Oryzias latipes: one gene and its partners. The protein of the gene in region 2 interacts with the protein of the main gene of each other region in a pairwise test. Links are inferred from orthologs where the notes say so. Each region holds a gene or a part of one and is shown on either strand. Other genes may lie near its edges. The genes, in order: sos1, intersectin-2 and was.

Region 1 (3,751 bases), on a different chromosome or scaffold from region 2:
CAGCAAAGCTTCTTCCTGAAGACGATTCTGTCTGAGAGTCAGAGTTACTGATAAACATGGACAAGAGCGGAGGATGGAGAAAACACTGACAGGACGGTTACCTTCAGCAGGGGATGGATCTTATCAACCGGCAGAGACAGAGGGTTCCTTCTCTTCCTTTTCTCGATGGCCGCCTGAGCATCTGCAATCGCCCACTTGTCGATAGGATAAGGAAAACTCTTCTGGACCCTCTCCTAAGACAACCGACAGAAGGTGTGAGGACCAAGTGACCTGACCTGCAGGCTTGACCTCACTTAGGTGACTAAAGGTAAGAGGGTTTGTTTCCAGGTTTCAGCATCCCTAAGCCTGTAGGTCTGAATCATTGGTGGAGATTTCAAGGGCTTGTTGGTGGAACATGCATGTGGCCACGGCAAACGTGTGCACGTGTGGATGGGTGCAGGTGTGCACGTGTGTTTGTGTGCACATGTATTTCTGTGCATGTGTGTATCTGTGTATGTGTGCATGCGTGTATCTGTGCATGTGTGCACGTGTGCGTCACCTCCACGTCCTGCACTGTGCGAGGCTGGGCCTGACACAACATGCTGAGCAGCAGCAGGATCAGCTCTTCGATGTACTGCAGCGCCTCCTGCTGGGACTTCAGGTTGGGGTGTACCTGGTTCAGTACCTGCAGCGTGCAGCCACACACACAACGTTTGATCAATAATTAAACAAAACGAAATGACAGAGCAGGTTTGATCAGAACAAGCAGAAACACAGGCCTCATGGATATGTGCTGCCCCCCAGTGGAGGAGGACAGAAAGACACCTTTCTCTCTGAGTTTCTGTTGGTTTTAGCTTCTTCTGTGTTTCTTTTTTTTAATTTATGTTCACCAACAGGCCGAAACCCACTTATGGGCGACGGTCAGACTCTACACCGGGTTCAGGTCTGCATGCTGGTCCCACAGGAACCAGGTAAAGACCAGACCTGCTGCTCCTTTCATGCAGCTAAGAAGACCTTCTCTGGAAATGTTCCCGTCCAGAACCACAGCTGATGATCACAAACAGTTATTTTAGTCCAGTTTTAAAGTCGTTTAATCATAATTTAACCTTTTGGGTTTTAAATCCCATTAAATTAATACATGCAGGAGTCCAAACATCTGTCCTGACCCAATAGAACATCATCTGAACCCAGGAGACCTCAGTCCATCCAACCTCCCACATTTCCACCTGATGCACCGCTGGCAGTAGAACCAGAACCAACACAGAAACCATGAGCGTTACAAACCAGGTCCACATGGTGGTAGACCGTGTTGTGGGTCAGAAACCTGTCATCATTCTTTGAGTTCCTGTTGTAGTTTCTGCCTACCAGCTGGACTCTGCCATCATTAAATGGATCTCTCAGGACGCGGGCCTGATGACAGCGGTCAGAGGTTCTGATGGTGAGCAGAACTTATGAAACATGGATCCAGAGGGTCAGAGGTCAGCCACCTGGAGCGCTTCTACCCGGTCCAACCCACAACTTTGGAGGTCCAACAAAGAACTCTGGGACAGTGAGGAACAGATTTGCAGAGTGTTGATCTTCTAAATCACAAGAGAACCACATCAGTCCAGGTCGGATCGGGACTGAAGTGGTCCAGGTCGGATCGGGACTGAAGTGGTCCAGGTCGGATCGGGACTGAAGTGGTCCAGGTCGGATCGGGACTGAAGTGGTCCAGGTCGGATCGGGACTGAAGTGGTCCAGGTCCGATCGGGACTGAAGTGGTTCAGGTCGGATCGGGACTGAAGTGGTCCAGGTGAGCTGGAAGAGTCCAGAACCTGTAGCCTCCGGGGAGCAGGCAGACCCCGCTGCCCCCATCTGACGTCAGCCGTCCTGTCACGGAACGGCCCGGCTTACCTGCAGGGCCACACCTGGCTGCAGCAGCCGCCTACGTGCGTGCGTGCGTGCGTGCGCACCTACCTTCTCCAGGGAGGGCACCAGCAGGCCTCTCCACCGCGGAGCGTTGTCCTCGCTGCAGAAATCGAACTGCAGCTGGCCCGTCTGCATGCTCACACGCACGCGGCTCCGTTTGGCGTGAATTCTGTGCGCGGCTTTGCGGGTCCAGCTGCGCGGCTGAAGCCGGGGGCCTCACGACGTCCGGGATCCGCCGGGACCGCCGCCACCATCCTCGGCTAACCGTTAGCTCCGCGGCTAGGAGCTAGCTGGACCGGGCGGAGGGCATGGCTTGCTGCGCGCTCCCGGGCTGCGCGCTCCCAGCACAGGCTCGCCGGCGGCGGGAGGGAGGGGGTCTCTGCGTCGGTTACTGGGCGCGGAGGGGGGGGTCAGCGGAGCAAACGGCGCGCCGCGGCTGTCATGTCACCGTTGCGGCTGGGGGGGGGGGCTCCAGTGCGGCGCCTGCGGGTGGGGGCCGCGTGACACCCGGTCTGTCTCAACCAGGATCCGAACCGGAAGGTCGGACGGTCACCTGCTGACGGCTGCAGCGCTCCGGAGGACCGAACCGAACATGGCGAGATAGTGAGCATGCGCAGTGGGTAGTTGCTGACGTTCAGGGGCGGGGCTGCTGTAGAGCGGAGAATCAAACTGATCTGATGGGAATCGGACCACCGGAACATAGGAGCACGTGCAGGTCAGAACTCAAATAATAAACTCTGTCCTGATGTACGTTTTTGAAGGTTAGAAACAGAACCGGAACCAGGACTGACCTTGATCTGGGTCGGGGGGGTCGTAACAACCCCCCTCCGCCCCCATTAGCTTCAAAGTTCCAGAGTGGAGTCTGATTTGAAGATTCAACACTCAGAACCAGAACCAACTGAGGGACTCCGTACCAATGAGAAGAAACCACTCTGAGATCAGGTGGGCTTCAAGTATTTTATTTACAAATGGGGGGGGGTCAAGTGGTGTGTGGGTGGGGGTCAGGTTAAGTGGTATGGGGGGCCCTGTTCGGACCTTCTTACCTGCACTAAGGAGGTGTCTTGATCACCTTTACAAAAATCTGGTGCTGTTGAGTGAAAAAGGTTTGGACACATCTAAGTTCTGCTGACTTTTCAATGGACCGGACATGGGGATCACGACCCCCCCCCCCCCCCCATGTGTCTCCCACCTGTCTGTGGCCTGATGGGGGGGCTGAAATGGATCTGGGCTCATCTGGAGCCAAAAACTGCGCCTCCATGCAGTCAGAGAGGAGGCTCCATCATCGGACCTGAACCCGCCCCTCAAGATTCAAACTCACCAGATCTTCACCTGTGATCACACCTGTGTAAAAACCGCAGGGGGGGGGGGTCAGCCAAAATACATAATTTCACAATGAGAAACGGTCACTGGCTAACAGACACTGTAAGACCCGTCCAAGCCGGGTCGGACGGCGGTTCCTCTGACACTACAAACACTGTTCCTATCGAAGACACCCAGAAGGGGGCGCCATGCTCCACAGAAGCTTTGCAGCAGAGGTATGAGTCCTCTTGAGGTTCTCCCTCAGCAAGAGTCCAGAAGCCAGTGTAAATAAAACCTCTGCAGCCCAGTCTGGACCACGTCTCGGAGTCCGGTGTCCTGCTGATCACCAACAGCTCACACAGAAGATTCCCGTGCAGTTTTGGACCTCAGAGCTCGGGCCCGGTTCAGGAAGGGGAAGGTGGTAGCAAGGCAGCCGGCAGCCACGGTCAGACCCAGACTTGTCCAGGCGAAGTAGATGGACCAACCGTACCCATGATCCACATCTCCAGGCAGACCGTAGATGAAGGGGGGGTTTCTGGAGAGGTCATAGGTCACGCTGGCCGCA
Region 2 (3,651 bases):
CAAAGCGCAGGCATCAGTCAGCAGGTAACTTTCTCAGCATTTGACTGAGGACAGACCCACTAACACAAACGACGGTCGGGTGGACTTCAGCAAACGGCAGAGTGTGACCCACAGAGAAGCTGAGAGAGGATGAGTCCCAACAGGGAGAAGCTAAAAATACATACGCGTGCTGCGGCAAAAGATGTGCGTGCACGTTTGTGGCACCAGCAGCTGGTCTGACACATCGAGACCCACTTACAGTGTAAGGCCAAGATGAGCCACCATGATTAAAATGGCGTTTTTGGTGTTATTAACATGTTCTTGTGTAATTTTTCTGATGATAGAGGACAGATATGAAGACAGTTAGGCTTAAATTGCACTTTTAAGTATTCCTTTATTCAAATTGAGATGCTCTAGTGTTTGTTTTGTTTTTGTCCTCTCTGACCTAAAAGTGTCTAAACAAGTCTTTTCTGTTGGACATTGCTTCCTCCTTCTGGATGTTTTCCCTTATTAATAGGGCATAAAGAAAATACACTTAAACCATGGCTACGTGTATGAATGATTTGGACTATTTGAGTTTCTACGACCTTTAAACATTTGACTTTTTGATTTGCTGTGATGCACATCTTTCACTGCCACTTGGTTGTGTTGTATTTGAAGCGATGCTTTAAAGTCCCAGTCCAATCATCTATTTTCAAAGGCGTTTTCCACTGGTCTTTTGTTGTGAATACGAATATGCCTTTGTAGCCAAAATAAAAAACACCTGTAATTTTCTAGGACACAGTTTCTGCAGAGCATCAGTACATTTGAAATTTACCCCTGAGTTGTGGGTTGGACTGTTGGCAAAGAGCAACCCCGCCCCCCTTCCCCTCCCCATTCTTGAGAGCGCAGAGCAAGGAGCTTGTGTCCCGCTCGGCGTATTTTCTACGTCACAAATACCATCTTTTACAAACAGCATTCTTTCATCTGCTCCTGATTCACAACGATTTGAACAAAGAAATGCATCTCTTAATGCATCTCTTAATATATGTTCTCAATCATCAGAAAAATGCCACAAGCCCATGTAAAAAAAAACAACACAATTTTTTATCAGAGTGAGTATTTAATCAAAATCAGAGTAAAAAATTGTGAGAAAAAATTATTAATATCAGCAAAGAACATTGTATTCTGGAATGTTTCTTGCAGTTTAATGTGAAAAAAGACTTTCTTCCATGACATTTACCTTAAATCTGAAGATTAAAGAGATGATAACAGAAAGATGGAATGCTTTAACTACATCTGGCATATTAAGATCGTCTCACCTGTGAAGGATCTGAATTTACAAGAGCAGTGTTATTGTCTGCTTTCTCCACAGCTGGATCTCTGCAATACAAGTGGGACCAGCTTTAAGAGACAGCACTGGACACAACTTTCAAGGAAAATATCCAAAACTGCTTAACTTTGGCCTCATACTTTGTGTTTGGTTGAAGACAGGATTTCTTTCCAGCAGCAGGAGCAGCAGCTTCGGAGGTGAGGAAGGTGGGACATTTCTCTGCGTAACTCTGGGGGAACCAGCCCCTCTTTCCACAGTACGTCCCACACAACCAGCCAGGCTCGCCCACAGTGAGCTCATTCACCTGCCACAACAGACAGAAATATGCAACAAGGTGAGATTAGAAGAAAAAACATTTTGCATAACAAACAATAATCCATCCATAAAATAAGTGGTAGCAATTAGTCATCCAGTTAGTTTATTAAAGGAAATATTTTCATGTAAGAATATTTTTCGCTGATATTAAGCTGCAGATTATTAATGATATTTAAAAATTATAGAAGCTTTTTTCTTACCTGGATGAGGCAGTTTGCATCTATACTAAGCTCATCTGCGTTGCGGGCAACAAATGAATACAAAGCTTTGTATGTTGTCAGCTGTCCTCCTCTTTCCAGTTCCTTCTTCTTCATCACCTCCAACTCCTTCAGTTTCCTCCCTTCTTCCTCTTCTCTCTTCTTCCGCTCCTCCTCTTCCCTTCTCTGCCTCTCCTCCACCTCCTTTCTCCTCCTTTCCTCTTCCTGTTCTCTTTTCTGCCTCTCCTCCTCCTCCTCTCTCCTTCTTCTTTCCTCTTCCCTCCTCTGTTGCTCCTCTTCCTGTGCTTTCTCCTGGGCAGCCCGGAGGCGAGCTTGTGCTTCTCTCTCCTCTTCCTCTCTCTGCCTAGCCCACTGCTCCTTCAGGAGCCTCCTCTGCCGTTCCTCCTCTTCTTCTCTCTCCTTTTTTTCTTTTTCTCTCTGCTCCTGCTCTCTCCTCTCCTGCTCCAGCTTCTTCTGTCTGTAGAAAAAAACAAAAACAACACTTTAAAAGACTTCACGGGATGTTTTTTCTTTTACCAAATATCTTGTAAATTTTAACATCTACAAGGAATTTGAATCTAAAACCCCTAGATCAGAGCTTTCTTATTTTATTATTTTGCATCAGTTCAAGACTTTTTTTTAAAAAAAACGTCAGAAATTTCACTGGATTTTCACTAACTCGTAGACTAAACAGGTCAAAATACGCTTGGTTGTCAGACTGTAGTCCAGCAGCAGTCTCTAGTCCAGAGTTTGTAATATTTGTGCCAGACATCAGTGTGACCACAATGGCTGCAACTCTTCCTTACACTAAACTTAGTAGAAAGCTGCATTTTATATAAAAGTGCTTCCTATATTATGAAGGGTTTTAACATGCATCATTTAACATGAGTCTGTTGAAAAAACATCTGCAGACTCTGTGTCACATCTGTCTGCATGGACCCACTCCAATCATCTTTTGATCTATTTTTAAATCGTTCCCATTGGTCTTTTAATTATGATTATGTTGTTTATAGCCAGAACCCCCCCCCCCCCCCCCCCCCCCCCCCCCGGTCATTTTCGAGGGCTGTATCTGCAGAGCTGCAGGAGTTTATCAGAAATTAATCTCCGAGCTGTGGGTGGGAGGAACCCTAGCCCCACACAAATTGTCCTGCTAGCCTACAGCCCCTCACAACCCCAACCTAACACTAGGGGTGCAACAAAAATGGCGAGCAATATTGGAACTATCCAGCCGTACATTTTTGTCCTGATCCCAGCTCAGATGAAGAAAACAAAGACGTACATTTGTCTACAAGTGGTTGCATCAGAATGGAGCGGAGCAGGGAGACTGTAGGGAGACCTGGTGTATTTTCAAATGGCATTTTATTTGTCTGCTCATGATTCACAGCAATGAAATATTGAATTTTAAGCTTAATTCTTTAATATATGTCCTCTATCATCAGCAAAATGCAACCAGAACATGTTCATAACACCAAAAACACAATTTTTTTCAGGTTATTTATCGGAGATTGTAAAATGTATACAAACTGTAAATGAGCTTGTAGAGTTGATTATGGCGCAGTGTTAAAGTGAAGAATAACTTTCTTGTGTGTTTACAATCTTTTCCTACTCTTCTGTGTTTCCATGTACGTGCAGGACTGTTCCCCCTAAATTGTGAGCCAATTAAAAAATGTCCACTTTGTGGTGCCCTGAGATGCTATGAAAACTGGAAGCAGTCAGGCGGAAAGCGTTTTAATCCAATGATTTAATCCAATGATTGCTGAGTTCCTTTCATTCACTGATAGGTAGCTATAAGACAGCATGGGATTGTCTTTTTAATTGTGAGTTGTACTCAGGAGACAGAAATATTCT
Region 3 (3,751 bases), on a different chromosome or scaffold from region 2:
GTGGTGGAGGTCCCCCTCCCCCTCCCCTGGTGGGTGCTGATGGGACAGGGGGAGGAACCCCCATGGAGCGTTTGTTTGATGATGATGGTGGTGGGGGTGGTGGCATGATGTGGGAGGACACTTGGAATGAGGCACCCTGTTTTGAGGAGGGTGGAGCCTGCGGAGGGGGTGGGGGTAGGCCCCCTCGGCTTGATGGAGGCGGAGGTGGCAGGCCCCCACGTGGTGGAGGTGGATTTGGAGTCGGGCTCCCCCGCTGGGATTGACCTGGGAGCGGTGGTAGAGGGCCGGAGCGACCTCGAGGGGGCGGAGGGGCTGGAGCGGAAGACCCAGAGCCGGGCAGAGGAGGCAGGGCTCCCTGTCTGCCATGTGGAGGTGGTGGAGGTGCAGCAGCTGGTAGAACATGTGAGTTATGCATTTAGCAGAGGCTCTGAAAATGATCAAACGATCAAACATATGCATCCAACCTGCTCTGTTTGCCTCCTGTTGGACAGCTTCAATTCCCCCGGACTGCTCAATGACATTATAGATGAGCTGGGAGGTCTTCTCGTCCTTGAGGTCAGCTTCACTAATGCCCGCCTGGGAGAACAGCTTCAGCAGATTAGGGTCAATGTTATTGGGGTCCCATCCAACATGCGACACATGCCTGGCAGAGAGGAGAGCAGGAATAAACAGACAGCAACACATGAGTACCTCTAAAGACTCCATTTCTTACGTAAACCCGCTGGGAGCTCCTATGTCTGCCTTGGACAGTTTAGGACCTTTTTTCTTGCTTTTCTTGCTTTTCTTATTATTAATAACTACAGCTGTAGCAGCAGGGGGTGGAGGCATGGTGCGATAACGTGAAGACTGGATGTCTGGGTTTTGGATGTCCACTGTTGCCATGTGAAAGGAACCGTGGTTACCAGCTGCTGCTTTTTAGAAAGAAATTCCAATTAAGACACTATCATATATTTATTTAATTTGAAAAAAAAATATTGAAACCACAATTTGAAATTGAATTTGAAAAAAGACACCTTTGTCAGGAGGAACTGGAGGCAAGGAACCTCGATCTACAACAAAACAGAGGAGAAAAAATGATATTCTGAAATGCAGGAGGAATTTATCCAAAAATAGTGTAAAAAATGTGTATTTACCAGGCGTCGGTAGGGGGCGCTGTTTCTTATCTGTCAACAGGAAAAAAAATTCAGGCCACCAAAAACACTTGAATGAGTGCAAACTGTTTCTTTCAGTATTTTAACAACAAAAAATCTTACCATATAACTTAAAAACACAGAATTTGTAAATATTCAAACATGCATTTACTTTATTTGCCACTTTCCTCTGAGCCCCGGATAAAAACAGAAGTTCAGTTCATCGGAAATGCAAATCAGGCACAAACTTGTCGCGTTCATGATTCTATCTGATAATCCCCACAGAAGAGATGCTGACCTTGACGGTTGTTTCTTTGACTGATTTTCTCCACAACGGCATTTTGGAAAATTTCTGCTTCGCCTTCATCTGAGAAGTTCAGCCCCACTTGACAATCCTTCAATGAGTTTACACAAGCCGATGCATTAAACCACCCCACAAGGTAGAAGATTATGATTTAAGAAGGGCAGATCAACGAGCACTTACATCTGCAGTGAAGGTGTGAAAAAACGTCCGTGGAGTGGAGTAAATGATTTGGTTGTACAGCTCCTGCTCCCAAACCATTTTCTCTGTCTGAGGGAGCAAATGATGGATGTGTCAGTTAGTGACCCTAGTGCTCAGCAGGCCTTGAAAAGGGGAACCTGGTTATCACGACTGGATCTTCAGAGCACAGTGAGCCTCTGACTGACCTTCATGTCAAACATTCGGATGAAGTAGGAGCGCTGAGGGTTGTCTTTGACAAAGCAAACCACCCCGGTGTGCTGCATACTCCACATGGTTGGACTGTGAGGGAGAGCCATGAACAGCTGAGCCACTGCAGTGGCCATGGACTAAACACACAAATAAGGGACCGATTAAAAACTGTTCACAGCCGATAAGACTCCCAAGAGCATTTCATTGCAGTCCTCATGTAAATTTCCAGTTGCGTGACGATTATCTTCCTCCTCATCGTTAGTTAGGTTCAATGGCATTCTTTATTTTCCACTGCAAACGATGAAACACTTTACATTGAGAGCATGTTCAAATGTTAAGCTTTCATTGAGAATATTTACTTTTGCAGCTAACAAACACAAAGCAACATCTTCCACACTGTGAGACTCAACCCAACATGGTTTCTAATTCTGACGGCAGGGGAAGAATCGTTTTAGCTACCATTTCCTGTAAGGGCCACCCTCTTTTTCACAACTCAATGCTAGAATATAATTCAAACAAAAAAAGGAATTTTATTTTAGAGAAATATACATGTACTCTTGCTAGTGTTTACTTTTTTTTCCGAGGAATTATCTAAAATAAAAGAAAAGATCAGTGGAGGTAAAATTAAAAAAAGTATTCTCAAAAGCCTCAGTGCTGAGCTGCAACTATGCTCTTAAATTTAGGATGTGATGTTTAATCATCCTTGAAATAGCAGATAGAAGTGATATGGACATTTTTTGAGTGTCAGCTATAAAAGGTCTTAGGCCTTAACCCCTCATTTTCACAGATGAGACAGAGTGTATTAGGTCATTTCAGAACTTACTGAACATCTTCTTCCCAGCAGCTCCTCCAGCTTCTCATTCTCTTGTTGGCTCAACAGAGAGCTTCGGTTGCTCTCAGTCTTACTTTTAGATCCACGGCTCATGATGCCTCTTAAAAAAGATCCACTTTATCTGAAATCTGCATGTATCTTGTTTAAAAAAAAGCAGCCCTGCAGTCGCTAAGAGAATGGCCTCTTCGGTTAACTTTGCAATCAAGGAAGTTTCTCTTCTCTGTTTTGAACGCAGCTCAAAGCAGGAAATGAACAACCGCACTTCTCTAACCCCCACTTTTCTTCTTCGCTTGGGCATAAATGAACGTGCTATACTTCCATTTTCATAGAGGCGGCGAAATGTTGCTCTTCCACTGATGTGCATATTCAAATTTAATAAAGCAAACACACATTCTGGGTGCATTTAATATCAGAAGGAGAAAACACCAGCGACAAAACACAGATGTACAAATGACACTTATTTTATTGACAGATAACAACATTCACATTAATTTAAAAATGCACATCCTGCATAAAACAGTTAAAAGATACCATTTGACGGACAAAACAAAACTTCCTTTATTGTACATAAAATTGAAAAAGGGCAGTTCCTCAACATTTTCCAGGACTGCAAAATCTGTCTAATACTGGATTTATGTCAATCTTGAGTTTAACTGGCTTTGTCAAGCATTTTAATAAAAAATACATTTTATTTTTGTAAAGTGACAAAATTCCTTTTTTTTGGCTTGACGCTTGTAAGTAACAAAAAGAATCCCTGTTTAAACTCACTGTATGTGTGTTTATGATGGTCAGTAACTGTTGACTTTGAAGAAATGGCAGTAAAGCCCCAACAACTGTGGGACTTTAAGTTCGATGATAATTATGGTTTTTACGTCAGTCGGATAAAGTACCCATTAAAAATACTAAATAAATATTTTCTCTTTTGATTGATTAAAATCAATTTTGTTCCCAAGTGCTTTTAAGCTGATCAAGTAAGGTCCGATAAAGCTCTCAAACCAAAGGAAAATGGAAAAGGATCAGGTTTTGTGTTGTTTAACAAGAAGCAAAAGCAGTTGCATATACTGACTGTATTCAGATGGGTGTCCTGTAAAAACTGGA

What was found.
Region 1: the proteins of intersectin-2 (region 2) and sos1 interact in a two-hybrid assay, tested with the Homo sapiens proteins (2 studies listed by BioGRID and IntAct). The link is inferred for Oryzias latipes from reciprocal best matches to the Homo sapiens genes ITSN2 and SOS1.
Region 3: the proteins of intersectin-2 (region 2) and was interact in a two-hybrid assay, tested with the Homo sapiens proteins (2 studies listed by BioGRID). The link is inferred for Oryzias latipes from reciprocal best matches to the Homo sapiens genes ITSN2 and WAS.

Annotation. Positions count from the first base shown.
Region 1 is NC_019859.2:117,599-121,349, forward strand, and holds the start of sos1 (son of sevenless homolog 1), read right to left. Parts: upstream 2,478-3,751; 5' UTR 2,023-2,477; coding exon 1,936-2,022; intron 665-1,935; coding exon 539-664; intron 234-538; coding exon 102-233; intron 1-101. Other genes in the region: tmem178a (transmembrane protein 178A), read right to left, coding at 3,541-3,751.
Region 2 is NC_019882.2:14,797,343-14,800,993, reverse strand, and holds part of intersectin-2, read right to left. Parts: intron 2,282-3,651; coding exon 1,807-2,281; intron 1,596-1,806; coding exon 1,432-1,595; intron 1,342-1,431; coding exon 1,281-1,341; intron 1-1,280.
Region 3 is NC_019865.2:21,090,965-21,094,715, reverse strand, and holds the start of was (wiskott-Aldrich syndrome protein), read right to left. Parts: upstream 2,896-3,751; 5' UTR 2,747-2,895; coding exon 2,645-2,746; intron 1,959-2,644; coding exon 1,818-1,958; intron 1,702-1,817; coding exon 1,615-1,701; intron 1,526-1,614; coding exon 1,429-1,525; intron 1,164-1,428; coding exon 1,134-1,163; intron 1,050-1,133; coding exon 1,014-1,049; intron 912-1,013; coding exon 713-911; intron 644-712; coding exon 465-643; intron 391-464; coding exon 1-390. UniProt on the Homo sapiens protein: Effector protein for Rho-type GTPases that regulates actin filament reorganization via its interaction with the Arp2/3 complex. Important for efficient actin polymerization. Possible regulator of lymphocyte and platelet function.